Linked DNA regions of Notamacropus eugenii. The protein of the gene in region 2 interacts with the protein of the main gene of each other region in a biochemical or structural test. Links are inferred from orthologs where the notes say so. Each region holds a gene or a part of one and is shown on either strand. Other genes may lie near its edges. The genes, in order: CDK3, RB1 and RBBP4.

The links.
Region 1: of the proteins of RB1 (region 2) and CDK3, one has a biochemical effect on the other in vitro, tested with the Homo sapiens proteins (2 studies listed by BioGRID). The link is inferred for Notamacropus eugenii from reciprocal best matches to the Homo sapiens genes RB1 and CDK3.
Region 3: the proteins of RB1 (region 2) and RBBP4 form a complex in vitro, tested with the Homo sapiens proteins (2 studies listed by BioGRID). The link is inferred for Notamacropus eugenii from reciprocal best matches to the Homo sapiens genes RB1 and RBBP4.

Annotation. Positions count from the first base shown.
Region 1 is NC_092873.1:342,252,199-342,255,943, reverse strand, and holds the start of CDK3 (cyclin-dependent kinase 3), read right to left. Parts: upstream 2,267-3,745; 5' UTR 2,256-2,266; coding exon 2,044-2,255; intron 1,703-2,043; coding exon 1,625-1,702; intron 1,520-1,624; coding exon 1,399-1,519; intron 1,306-1,398; coding exon 1,135-1,305; intron 1,035-1,134; coding exon 933-1,034; intron 654-932; coding exon 450-653; intron 1-449. UniProt on the Homo sapiens protein: Serine/threonine-protein kinase that plays a critical role in the control of the eukaryotic cell cycle; involved in G0-G1 and G1-S cell cycle transitions. Interacts with CCNC/cyclin-C during interphase. Phosphorylates histone H1, ATF1, RB1 and CABLES1.
Region 2 is NC_092876.1:108,202,704-108,206,448, forward strand, and holds the start of RB1 (retinoblastoma-associated protein), read right to left. Parts: upstream 2,363-3,745; 5' UTR 2,111-2,362; coding exon 1,983-2,110; intron 1-1,982. UniProt on the Homo sapiens protein: Tumor suppressor that is a key regulator of the G1/S transition of the cell cycle. The hypophosphorylated form binds transcription regulators of the E2F family, preventing transcription of E2F-responsive genes.
Region 3 is NC_092876.1:77,231,569-77,235,313, forward strand, and holds the start of RBBP4 (histone-binding protein RBBP4), read right to left. Parts: upstream 2,413-3,745; 5' UTR 2,355-2,412; coding exon 2,300-2,354; intron 2,100-2,299; exon of another isoform or gene 1,768-2,099; coding exon of another isoform or gene 1,752-1,767; intron 1,472-1,751; coding exon of another isoform or gene 1,285-1,471; exon of another isoform or gene 1,085-1,284; intron 483-1,084; coding exon 335-482; intron 1-334. Other genes in the region: ZBTB8OS (protein archease), read left to right, coding at 1,285-1,471. UniProt on the Homo sapiens protein: Core histone-binding subunit that may target chromatin assembly factors, chromatin remodeling factors and histone deacetylases to their histone substrates in a manner that is regulated by nucleosomal DNA.

The DNA.
Region 1 (3,745 bases), on a different chromosome or scaffold from region 2:
TGGGAGCAGGGAAGATAGGCCAAATACAGAGGCACTCCAGCATAGAGGATTTGTTGCCAAGAAATCTGGGGTTCAAATTTTGACTCATATACTTACTAGCTGTGTGACTTTAGGTAAATCATGTAACTGCTCTGAGGGTCGGTCCTCATCTGTAAAATGGGGATAACAATAGCACCTCCTCCTTTACAGGATTGTTGTGAGTATCAAATGTAAAGTCCTTGGCAAACTTTGAAGTGCCATTCAAATGTTAGCTATGTTGTGGTGGAGGGAGTGGTTCTAACTAATGAGGCAGAGAAGAGCAAGATAAATGCAGGAAACAAAAAACAGATGGGTTTGGCTGATTGGATTGACTCCTGCCAAAGCAGGCATAGCTCCTCACCCTAACTGGACCAGACTCTGGACCAACAGCTGGAGTCGGATACCCTCTTTTCCATCTTCCATTCACCTACCATGAGCAGGTCTTTGCCCTCTGGGTCAAGACTAGGCACAATCTCCTCTATTGACTTCTTGGTCCACTTGGGGAAACTGCCCTTATAATCTGGCAGCTGGGTGACCCCTGGCCACATGGCTTCACTGGGTGTGCCAAGGGTCCGAAAAATTCGAAACAGCTGGTCAATTTCAGAATCACCAGGAAATAGGGCCCTGCGTGTCACCTAAAGGGAGAGAACTCCTTGTTACCCCCAGCACCTAATTCCTTTTTCTTAATCTCCCCTTTCCCTATCTCCCTCTAAACAGAATCCAACACAGAGTAAACTTTTAGGGCTTGGTGAAGAAGGTCAAAAGTAGAACGTTTTGAGCTAACCTGTTTCCAGGGTTTCTATAGCTGTGAGGTACGGTTATAGTTTGCTCAGCCCTCCAGCTAGCCCGACTCCTACACCACCCAGAAGACTGAGCCTAAATTCAGCAGGACACCCTCCTTTGTCTCCCTTTACCATCTCTGCAAAGATGCAACCAATGCTCCAGACATCCACAGCTGTTGAGTAGAACTTGCAGCCCAGGAGAATTTCAGGGGCGCGATACCAGAGGGTTACCACCTGTAGGGGCAGAAGCCAGTGCCACTCTGGGCCACCCTGGTGGTTGAGTGGTAGTCCAGCCCACATACAAGTAAAGCTCTGGTCCCTAACCCAATAGTACCTCATGGGTGTAGGTACGCAGGGGCACACCAAAGGCTCGGGCCAGCCCAAAATCAGCCAGCTTGATGGCACCTAATTCATTGATGAGAAGGTTCTGGGGCTTTAGATCACGGTGGATGACCCGATGGGAGTGGCAGAAATTTACTCCTTGGAGCAGCTGGAAGAGGTAGCTCTAGAACAGAAGGGCAGAGGCTTAGTGGGAGTATAACTGGGTCTGGGTAGGTAGGAGGCACCATCATCCCCACCCTCTCTTATTTCATGGTACCTTGACCAGATGCAGGGGAAGTTCTGTGGCTGCAGCTGAGTCCATATATTTCTTCAGGTCCTGGCTGAGGAACTCAAACACCAGGTACAGTTTTTTCTCACTGTGCACCACATCCAGTAGCCTGATGAGAAGATTCTAGTCACAAAAAACTAGGAGCATTCCCAGTCAGGGGGAGGTAGGGTGGGGAGGGCCCCTCATTCTCTTGGGCCTCTCCCCTCTAACTTACCTGACGATATTGGGGTGCTTAAGTTCTTTGAGAAGGGAGATCTCCCGAATGGCAGTGCTTGGGACACCCTCCGTCTCCCTGCAGTAAGGGATGGGTTGCGGGGGATGAGACTGGAGGCAGGAGGCACGATCTAAGGACGCAGCATCTAGCTTGAGGGCCTTGCCCAATCGTCCTCCTCCTGAGATGTCCCCCTGCCCACACCCTCACCCCTGACTCTGTGGGTACGAGAACAACCCTCTCTGTCTGAAGCAGGTGTCTCAAGCTTGGAATCCCCCCCACACACACCTGGGTACAAGGAGAGGGGCAGAAAGGTGGGGGAGGACAGAGGTTAGGAACTGAATGTGAGCCCTGCGGCTGGGAAGGTGGGAGAAGGCCACGGCGGGCGCCCGGGGGAAGGTGGCCCCTGCCCGGGCACTCACGAGTCCAGGCGAATCTTCTTCAGGGCCACGAGCTGGCCGGTCTGTCTGTTCCTCGCCTTGTACACCACCCCGTAGGTGCCCTCCCCGATCTTCTCCACCTTCTGGAACACGTCCATGCTGGCGCTGCCTGCCTGGGGGTCAGAGGGCCTGCCCTGAGCATGCCTGGCCCCCCTGGCACCACCACCAGACCCCTGGGTGACCTGCCCCTCCATCCCCGCTGCCCCCTCCTGGCAGTGCCCTGGCATGGGGCTCATCCCCCCCTGCCCCACCCTCAGGCTCTCTTCCACCCTTGGGGCCTGTGAGCTCCGGGGCCTGGGGACAGGTCCTCCAGGGCACTAGGAGGCTCCCCAAGCCTGAAGCCAAGCCCCCCACCCCGGCCTGCCCGCTGCTGCCCACTACGGGGAGCAGGGAGGACCAAACCTCCTGTCCCTCCTGTGTCCTCTCTGCTCCCTCCCACCTCCCCCACTCCAGCTCAGGCTCCCTCAGGGGCACCCTGGGAACAGCCTGGAGGTCAGAGGTCAAAGGACAGCCCCAGGAGCCTCGGAGGCAGCCTTGGTGCCAGCAGGCTTTCGGGCCTAGTGCCTGCCTTCCCTGAAGGCCCTGCTTCAGGCCCTGCCCCGGGCCTGGGGCCTTCCAAGGGCCCCCCTCCCTGCACAGGGGCCCTGGGGGTCCCTGTCCCTCTCCCCCCTCCCCCACAGGAAGGTCACCAAGCACTCCAGGACCCAGCCCTTCCTCCTTCTGCGGCAGGTTCCCACACAGCCCTGGGGAGGCGTGAAGGGCCAGGCCCTTTGTCCTGGACTTCCAGGCCATAGCGGTGGGGGGGGGGGGGGGCAGTCCTCCCCTACCGACCCCAACCCCAAGAGCCCAAGTCAGAGTCCCCAGCCTTGGGGGTCATCTCGTAAGCAGTTCATCTCCAAATGTAACATTCTGGTGTTTGGGGCTCCCCCAGGGGGTTTCCTCAGAGAACGCTCCACAGAGAAGGCTGAGGCCCACAACATGGCTTCTGTAGCTGGAGGGCTGGAGGGGCCTCCCCAAGGCCGTCCTGGTCACCCCATCGCGGCTGATAACCTGGTAGACTCACCCTGGCCCAGGCTCTTAGGTTTCTTTATTTGTCCATGGGTTCCTCAGTCCCTTGAGTCTCATGTCTTTTCATGTCAAATAAAGGTTGTCTTACATCTGACAGGTACCCCTGGACCACACGTGTAGTCCTTTCTTCTGCTGTGCTTTGTGTATGGAAATGCTCACTGTATTTGGTGTCAGCTAAGTTCAGAATAAATTAATTACTGTTAAAAAGAAAAGCTATACCTAAGCTTTATTTAAGAGATTTCCCTGGAATAAATCTCTGAGGGTGGAGGTGATAACCAAAGAAAGAAACTTTGCCCCCAAGGACGCGACCTGGTCCACATGGGATGGGGGTGAGGAGGATTGGTCCATAGGTCACACAAAAACCACCTCATATGAATGCATGCCCAGCCCTCTAGAAAACAGAAAATATTTCTTCCATTAACCTTCATCACCATCTCCCCAAAAATGTGTCCGGTAAAATAAATGGGCCCTTTGGGGAAAGAGGTATTTGGTCCCTTAGAGCTCTGTTTTCACACTAGCATATGGGCTACGATGGACAGAAACAGATGAATGTTGGAGTGCCTTATACAGCCCACCCAGAACTCTGGGGTGGGCTTATATCTGCCTGCCTGTAGGA
Region 2 (3,745 bases):
AACCACCAGAACTTGACTAGCTGAATAAAGAACGACATTTTCTACTACATCACCATCTGAAATCTGACCTCTTGTATTCTTTCTACTTATATATTTTAATTGTACATTTAAAGCACTCAAAATGTCTTCTATGAGCCTATTAAAAACACAAACCAAATAATATATCTGTTGTTGTTTAGTTGCCCCATTTGTGTTGCTCTTGGCAAAAACTGTGGAGTGGTTTGCCATTTCCTTCTTCAACTGATTTTACAGATAAGGAAACTGAGGCAAACAAGGTTAAGTGACTTGCCCAGGGTAACACAGCTAATAAATGTCTGAGGCCAGATTTGAACTCAGGAAGATGAGTCTGACTTCAGGCCCAGCACTCTCTGTCCACTCTGTCTATATGCCCAGTTTCATGGTAAGACCTTACAATAACATCAAGTTGACTTTTTTTTAAATTGTATATATTAGCATTCATTGCCCTTCAATAGATCCATAACCACAAAGTAGAAACAAATCTTGGCTTCCTTCAAATCCCAACTAAAATCCCACCTCATGCAAAAAAGCATTTTCCAATTCCCCTTAATGCTAGCGCCTTCCTTCTGTCCAGGATCTCCAATCTGTCCTGTATAGGTCTTGTTGTACCTTAGTTGTTTGCATGCAGTCTCCCCAATTGGATGGTGAGGTCCTTAAGGTCAGGGATTGCCTTTTGCTTTGTTGGTATTCCCAACACATAGCATGCTTGGTCTTAATGAATGTTTACTGGCTGGCTGACTGACTGGAGAGTAAACATACTAAATATATGTTTTTCAATATCAAACATAAAGAATGGCTACAAAAAAGAAAAACAACCAACAAGTTGTAACATACACATGACATACCACTCTGTAATATTCTACTGTATCCACTAGGGTTGCTCATATAAAGATTTCATTAAGTAAACAATTCCATGTGATTGGTCATGGCTGAACATCTTACAAAACAATACTCGATATCAGACATCAATGTCTCTACCCACCAAAAATTTAAAATCAATCAACTTTGACACGCTGATGCAGATCTACATGCAAGGAGTTTCATCTAAATTTGGGGAAAAAATAAAAATAAAGACGAAATTCATAGAACAACCCTTGTCAGTTTTACGTTTTAAGCGCTTGTGCTGTAAATTACATCACTGAAAGTGTTTCACAAGGGTTTAAAACATGGACCAAGAAAAAAAATGCTACTAATGAGTAATTTTCTTACAAAATCACTACAAATAACTTCTCATTTCCCACCTCCACACCTTACAGCATCGCCATACTCCGGGGCTCAGATCTCACTAGACTTCTCATTAGTCTGGTAACACTACAGAAGGGTGGACCCTCATTCTCAGCAGTTCCCACAGTAACTGTCCCCCACCACCACCACCCCGACACTAAGCTCTGGCAAGATGGTAAAAACAATACTTTTTATTAGCTTTATTACACAGGAAGTGACAAAGTATGATATGCGCACCCGCATTCAACACACCATTTAGGAGTGGAGGGGGCGGGGTGGGGGAGGGGGATGTCGTGGGGTTTCTTAATGTATCTCATCAGGGTGCGCTCGGACCCCAACAATCTCCGAACTCCACCGCACGGAACAGAACAGAACAGGATCCGTGGGCATCTCTGGAGAGGAAACAATGCTCTCTCCCCGACTAAGCACAGTCACCACCCCCACCCTCCACCACCCGAGAGAGAAAGAAGCCACCTGTCACTCCTTCTCCCCGGGACCCCGGCCCGCCCCACCCACCTGTCAACCTGGGGCCAAGGCTGCGGCCGGGAAGCCCCGTCCCCGCGGCCCGGCGCCCCGCGTTCGCAGCTGTCAGCCGGCCCAGGGGCCGCCGGGGGCTCGTGCCCCGCTCCGGGCTCGGGCCCGCAGGCCGCCTCGACGGGCAGCCGGCCCCTCCCTGGTCACGCCGCGGCGTCTGCCGGGTGCCCCGCTCCCCGGAGAGGCTCCGGCCCCGGCTCTCTCACCTGACGAGCGGCAGGTCCTCTGGGCCGCTATCCGGCTCCGGCTCCTCCTGGCGAGGGGGAGGGGAAGGCGGCGGCGGTGGCGGCTCCGGGGTCAGAACAGCCGGTTTCCGAGGGGCTTTGGGTGGCATGACTGACTGACTGACCGACCGACTGACTGGCAGGAGCGACTGGGGGGTTGGGAGGTGAGGGGCAAAGGGGAACACGCGCGCACGCGCTCTTCCCAAGTGAACGCGCCGCCCCAGACGCCCTTCGTCCTCTCTCGGCTCCCGTTAGAAAACTTTAAACGTTCTCCGAAAACAACCAAACAACCGGGAGAGCCCTGTCTCCACCCACCTCTCTAACCCTAGCCCGGCACCAAAAGCTCCGCGCTCAACCGCGGGAAAACGTCACTTCCGCTCCTGCGCGCTAAGTCCCACCGAGTTCCCGGGCCCGCCCGCCGAGCCTGGGAGGCAGAAGGGAGAAGGTCCGCGGCGAGAGAAGGGTGGGGCTGCGGGTGCCGGCCGCGGCGAGGCCACGAGCGTGTCGTGGGGCCCGGCCCCGTGCTGGGGGTGGGGTACCTATCGGGACGGAGAGGCCCGGAGCCCCGGCAACCAGCGCCGGCCTCTTCCCCTGAGCAGGCCCGGCTTGGGCCTGCCCTCTGGTTACCTGCAGCGCCGTCGTGCTCCCGAGCACGCGGCTCCTTGACTGCCCCGTGCTGTGGACGCAGGAGCCCGCATGCGTAAAGGAGCCCCTCCAGCCTCAGACGTAGGGAGTGTGACCCTGGGCGAGTCATCGCCCCTGTACTGTCAAACAGGGATAATCCACGAGCTGCCTCCCAAGGTGGCCGTGAGCATCCCAGGGGATCATTGCTCAGCTCTTCCCCAGGGCCTGGCACTCAGCGAGCGCTATGTCAGGGTTATCGTTTACCCTTACCCCAGTGCCGGATATATCGTTGTTGTTGAGTCGTGGGCAGCTAACTGTCCGTGGCCCCATTGGGGGTCTTCTTGGCAAAAACACTGGAGTGCTTTGCCATTCCTTCTTCCAGCTCATTTTATAGAGGAGAAAACTGAAAATAAAAAACAAAAACAGGTTACGGGACTTGCCCGGGGTCACACAATTCTTAGGTGTATGAGGACAAATTTGAACTCACTTCTTTCTGACTCCAGGCCCTCTGCTCAATCCATCGAGCCACCTAATTGCCTCCTGTCTGGCATATGGTAAACACTATCTATCTATCTATACGTGTGTATATGTGTCTATGTAGAGAGAGAGACACACGCATATATATGTTAGCTATTACTATCATCCTTATTAATTGTGAAGTGCTTAGCACACCTCCCAGTACATAGTAAGTGTATACAGATGTTAACTATCATTATTAGGACTTGATTTGATAGTAGAGTGGTTCAGTAGAAAGATCACAGGCTCTGAACTCAGAGGTCTTGAGTTCAGATAACCACTTCTGATGCTTACTGCTCCTGAGGTCTTAGGCAGATCAATGAATGTCTCTCAGCTCAGTTTCCTTATCTGTAAAATGAAGGGTTTGGAGCTGAATGGCTTTCTTATGTCCCTCCCAGCCATGATCTTTCAGCATGCAACACTCACTTTATTTTAGCTGAATGTGTGCAGTACTTAAAAGCATGCCAAGGGAGTCCAGGAGATAGTATTTTCAGACGTGGAGCTTTCAAGATTGGTAGTTTGTACAAATCCTGACTTTGCTACGTAACCCACCTGTTGATCTAGAGCAAGCCCCATAACTTGTCTGGATGAAAACTTCCTTTTTT
Region 3 (3,745 bases), about 31 Mb from region 2:
AATTTGATTCCAATCCTAGAGTAGATCCTCAGATCTAGGATAGCTAGATGGTACAGTAGATGGACTACTGGACCTGGAGTCAGGAAGACACCATTCAAATCCGGCATGGGACATTTACTAGTTTTGTAACTCCAGGCAAGTCACTTAATTTCTGCCTCAGCTTCCTCATCTGTAAAACAAGGATAATAACAGCACCTACCTCCCAGGGTTGTTGTGGTGTTTTAATGAGATATTTGTAAAGTTCCTTGTAGACAATAAAGATCTATATAAGAGCTCACTATTATTATTTTGATGCCACTCCTAGTGCTTTTAACCATTAAGATATTCAGATCACCTGGTTACATCTGGAAGCCACTGTGCAGTCAGGCTGGGCCACTCTAGGGCATGGGTCATCACTAAGTCATAGAGAAAAGGAGTATTTTTTTTCCATATTTTATACTCCTCGTTGATCACTCGTTCTTCTACAGCATCATCAAAGGCTGCTAAAAAAATAAAATAAACGGAGTTAACCTCCAGATGTGAGTACTTTGAAAAATGAAACATGGCACACATTTCTTTCCTCAGGCAGCTTGTGAGGGACAGGAGTATCCAGCCCCTTGTACAAGGTGTTAATCCTCCAAATCTTCCCCCTTTCCCATTTGTGTGGGACTGTAAAGAACTTCAGGGCTCATTTCATAGGTTTAATGGCTGGAAAAAGCTTTTTGGAGATTGAATTCAGCCCCTTCCTTTTTCAAATGAGTAAACAGGGGCTAACAAGAAAAAAATGGGACCGAGCCAGTCGAAGGTGACAAATCTTACTGCGTGCTTAATACAAAGAACGCACTAAAGGTGCAAAGGTTAAAAAAAATACCCATCCTTCAGAAACATTCCCGGAGGGTGAGCGGATGTAACACAAATAGATAAGGAATGGGATTCTCCAGTCAGAAAGAGTGCTAAGAGCGAGGGCGAGCACGTCAAGGTCCACTTTACTGGAGTTCTTCCAAGCTTCCCCCGGGAGACAGGACGCGCGAGGAGCCCTGCGAAGTCCAGAACTCCGGGACGCCCAGCGGGGGGGAGCGCTCCAGGCAGGAGCCGGGGCCGAGCTCGGGGCCGAGCGGAGGGGTCGGCGAGGCTCCACCGGGGACAGCGTCCGCAAAGGCCGGGCTGGACCACGAGGGACTTCAGCGTCCGCGAGGGTTTCGTCCTCCATCCCGTGCCCACTGGGGAGCCCGCTGGGGGCACGGGCAAGCCCAAACTCGCCATCACACCCGGGCTTCAGGCGGATTGTTCAGGAGGCGGGCACGGATGCTGGAGAAAGCCCCCAAGTCTCATCCTCCAGCTCTCCAAGTGAAGCCACCTGTCCAAGGTCACTCAGCCGGCGTAGCAGCGCCGTCGGTCGGCAGGACTTGGGTTCCGATTCCGCCTTGGCTACTCGCTACCCCGCGAACTTGGGCAAGTCCCGCGCCCTCGTGCGGCCTCAGTTTCCCCAGATGTAAGAAGCGGGGGATGGAATCCCCAACTTGGCAGAGCTCGCCGCCGCGCACCCCTCCCCCCAGCCCCAGGGGGCCTCCTTCCTGGGGACGGACACGTAGACCAGGCGGAGAGGCCTGCGGGAGGATCGCAGTCCCGGGACACCGGGAAGAGCGGGAGGCCGCGGGTGGGGAGGGCTCCTCTCACATCCCTCCCTTCGCGGTCTGGGAGGGCCTATTCGGGCGGCCGGGAAGGCCCCCTCCTCCGCGCTCGGCCCCCTTCCCTCCCCCTGCTCTCCTCACCTTCCTTGTCGGCCATGGTGGGCGAAGAAGCTGACGGACTGAATGACGGGCGCAGGGGCCGGGGACTCCCGGGGTCGCAGCACCGCGAAGGGGGGGGGGGTGAGGGTGAAGGGGTGGGGGTGGGGAGGGCTCGACGGCGCTCGCTCAGAGCGCGCGGCCTCTATTGTTTCCTGCCGCCCCTGCGTGTGGCCCGAGTCGCGCACCTTCGCGCCAACGGCGGCCAATCGGAACAGGCTCAGGCGAAAGGAGGGGGGCGAAAGGGGAGGAGGGCGCCACGGCGGTGGCCAATTGGAAGGCGCGTCGCCACCGCGAGCCGGCCTCGGCCTCGAGGTCTACCCCTCCCCCCAAGGTTTGGCACCGCCTCCTCCTCTCCCCGCGCGGTCGGGTTGCCGAGATTAGCGAGCGCGCGCAGCCCAGCCGCCCGGGAAAACGGTTGGTGGTCACGTGAGCGGGGCGGGAGGGGGAGGGGAAAGCTGGAAAACGGGGGAAGGCTCGAAGCTCCCCTGGGAGGCGGCCATTTTCCAAAGTCAGGCTCCATTAAGGCTCACCCGAGGTTCTGGCTTTGACCTCCTTCGACGGGAGAGTCCCAGGACCCCCCTCCATTGAGGCGAGAGGGAACTTGGGACCCTTTACGGAGGGTAGCCCAGCTTCTTTCCTCGGGGGCGAACGCACCGTCACCTAGACCTACAGTAGTGTAAGGGCTGGGGGGGAGGGGGGAGCCAATTTAGCCCCCGACTGTCTCCCTGTCAGCTCCTCCCACTACGTGATAAGGCCTAGGGTCAGCGACCGTAGCGGAGGATGGCTAAAACTGAGGCCTGGCCCTTTAAGGGCACGCGTCGCGGGGCGGGGACTCCGGGCGGAAGCTGCGCCGGCGAAGGGCGGAAGCGGAGCCTTGGCGGAGTAAGTCATGGCTCAGGAAGGGGAAGACGTGAGGGACTACAACCTGAATGAAGCGCAAAAGGCGATCAAGGCCAAGTACCCCCCGGCCACCCGGAAATACGAATGTGAGTGCTCTTCCTCTCAGATTTGGGGCGGCCTTCTACCTAGGGTGGAGAAGGGGCGCTCTCGAGGCGTGAGACGGCCGCAGTGGCAGTCCTTGCCCCGCGCCACTAATGGACCTTGGGCTCCCTCGTCTTACCGCGCCCCATTTTGCAGAGGTGTAGCCTGAGATGGAGAGCCCAGAGTCCCACCGAGAAGATGCCCAGGGCACACACTCCACAGGGCCCCTGGCCGGTTTCCTGCTCGCGTCCCTCCCGGGTCTGAGCCGCAGCGTCCTTTTCTGTAAAAGACTAGATCACAGGATCGCAGATTTAGAGTCGGAGGGCATTTAGTCCAGTCTCATTTCACAGAATCCTCCCACCCATTGAGAAGGCAAGCTGTGTGATGCCCATTATGTGGATGAAGGCATGCAAAATATGGGTCTATATTGGCCATGTGTTACGGAGTATGTTAAATATAAATGTGTGCGCTATATGCGTTTAAAGTTCTTAGGGTTTTGGGGTAAGAGTCACGGGATTATAGATTTACAATTAGAAGGGATCTCAAAGGTCATTGGTCTAGGCTTTCATTTTACAGATGAGAACATGGTTCCAGAGAGGTTAAGTGACTTGCCTAAGGTCAAACTGGTATTAGAAACTCAGCAGAGTTTGGAATTTGAACTCAGGTCTTATAACTCCAAGTGGGATGTTCTTTCCATTGGTTCACACTACTATAGTAAAGTAGGAGAAGCTGCTGAGTAAATTTAAAGGCAGGCAATAAGTATTTAGGGTCCTTTGTAGTGGATAAAAAAATGAGTTCATAAATATTTTAGTGGCCACTCTATACAAAGGATTATACTAGGTATTTTTCCCTTAAAGAATTTATGGTCTAGTTGGGAATCCAGAACTAGTATGCATGGAAGAATTAGAGAGCATTATAATAATATGTTAATTGAGCATTAAAATTGTAGGTTGCTACAGGAGTTCAGCAAAGAGGGAGATAAGGGAAGATGAGTT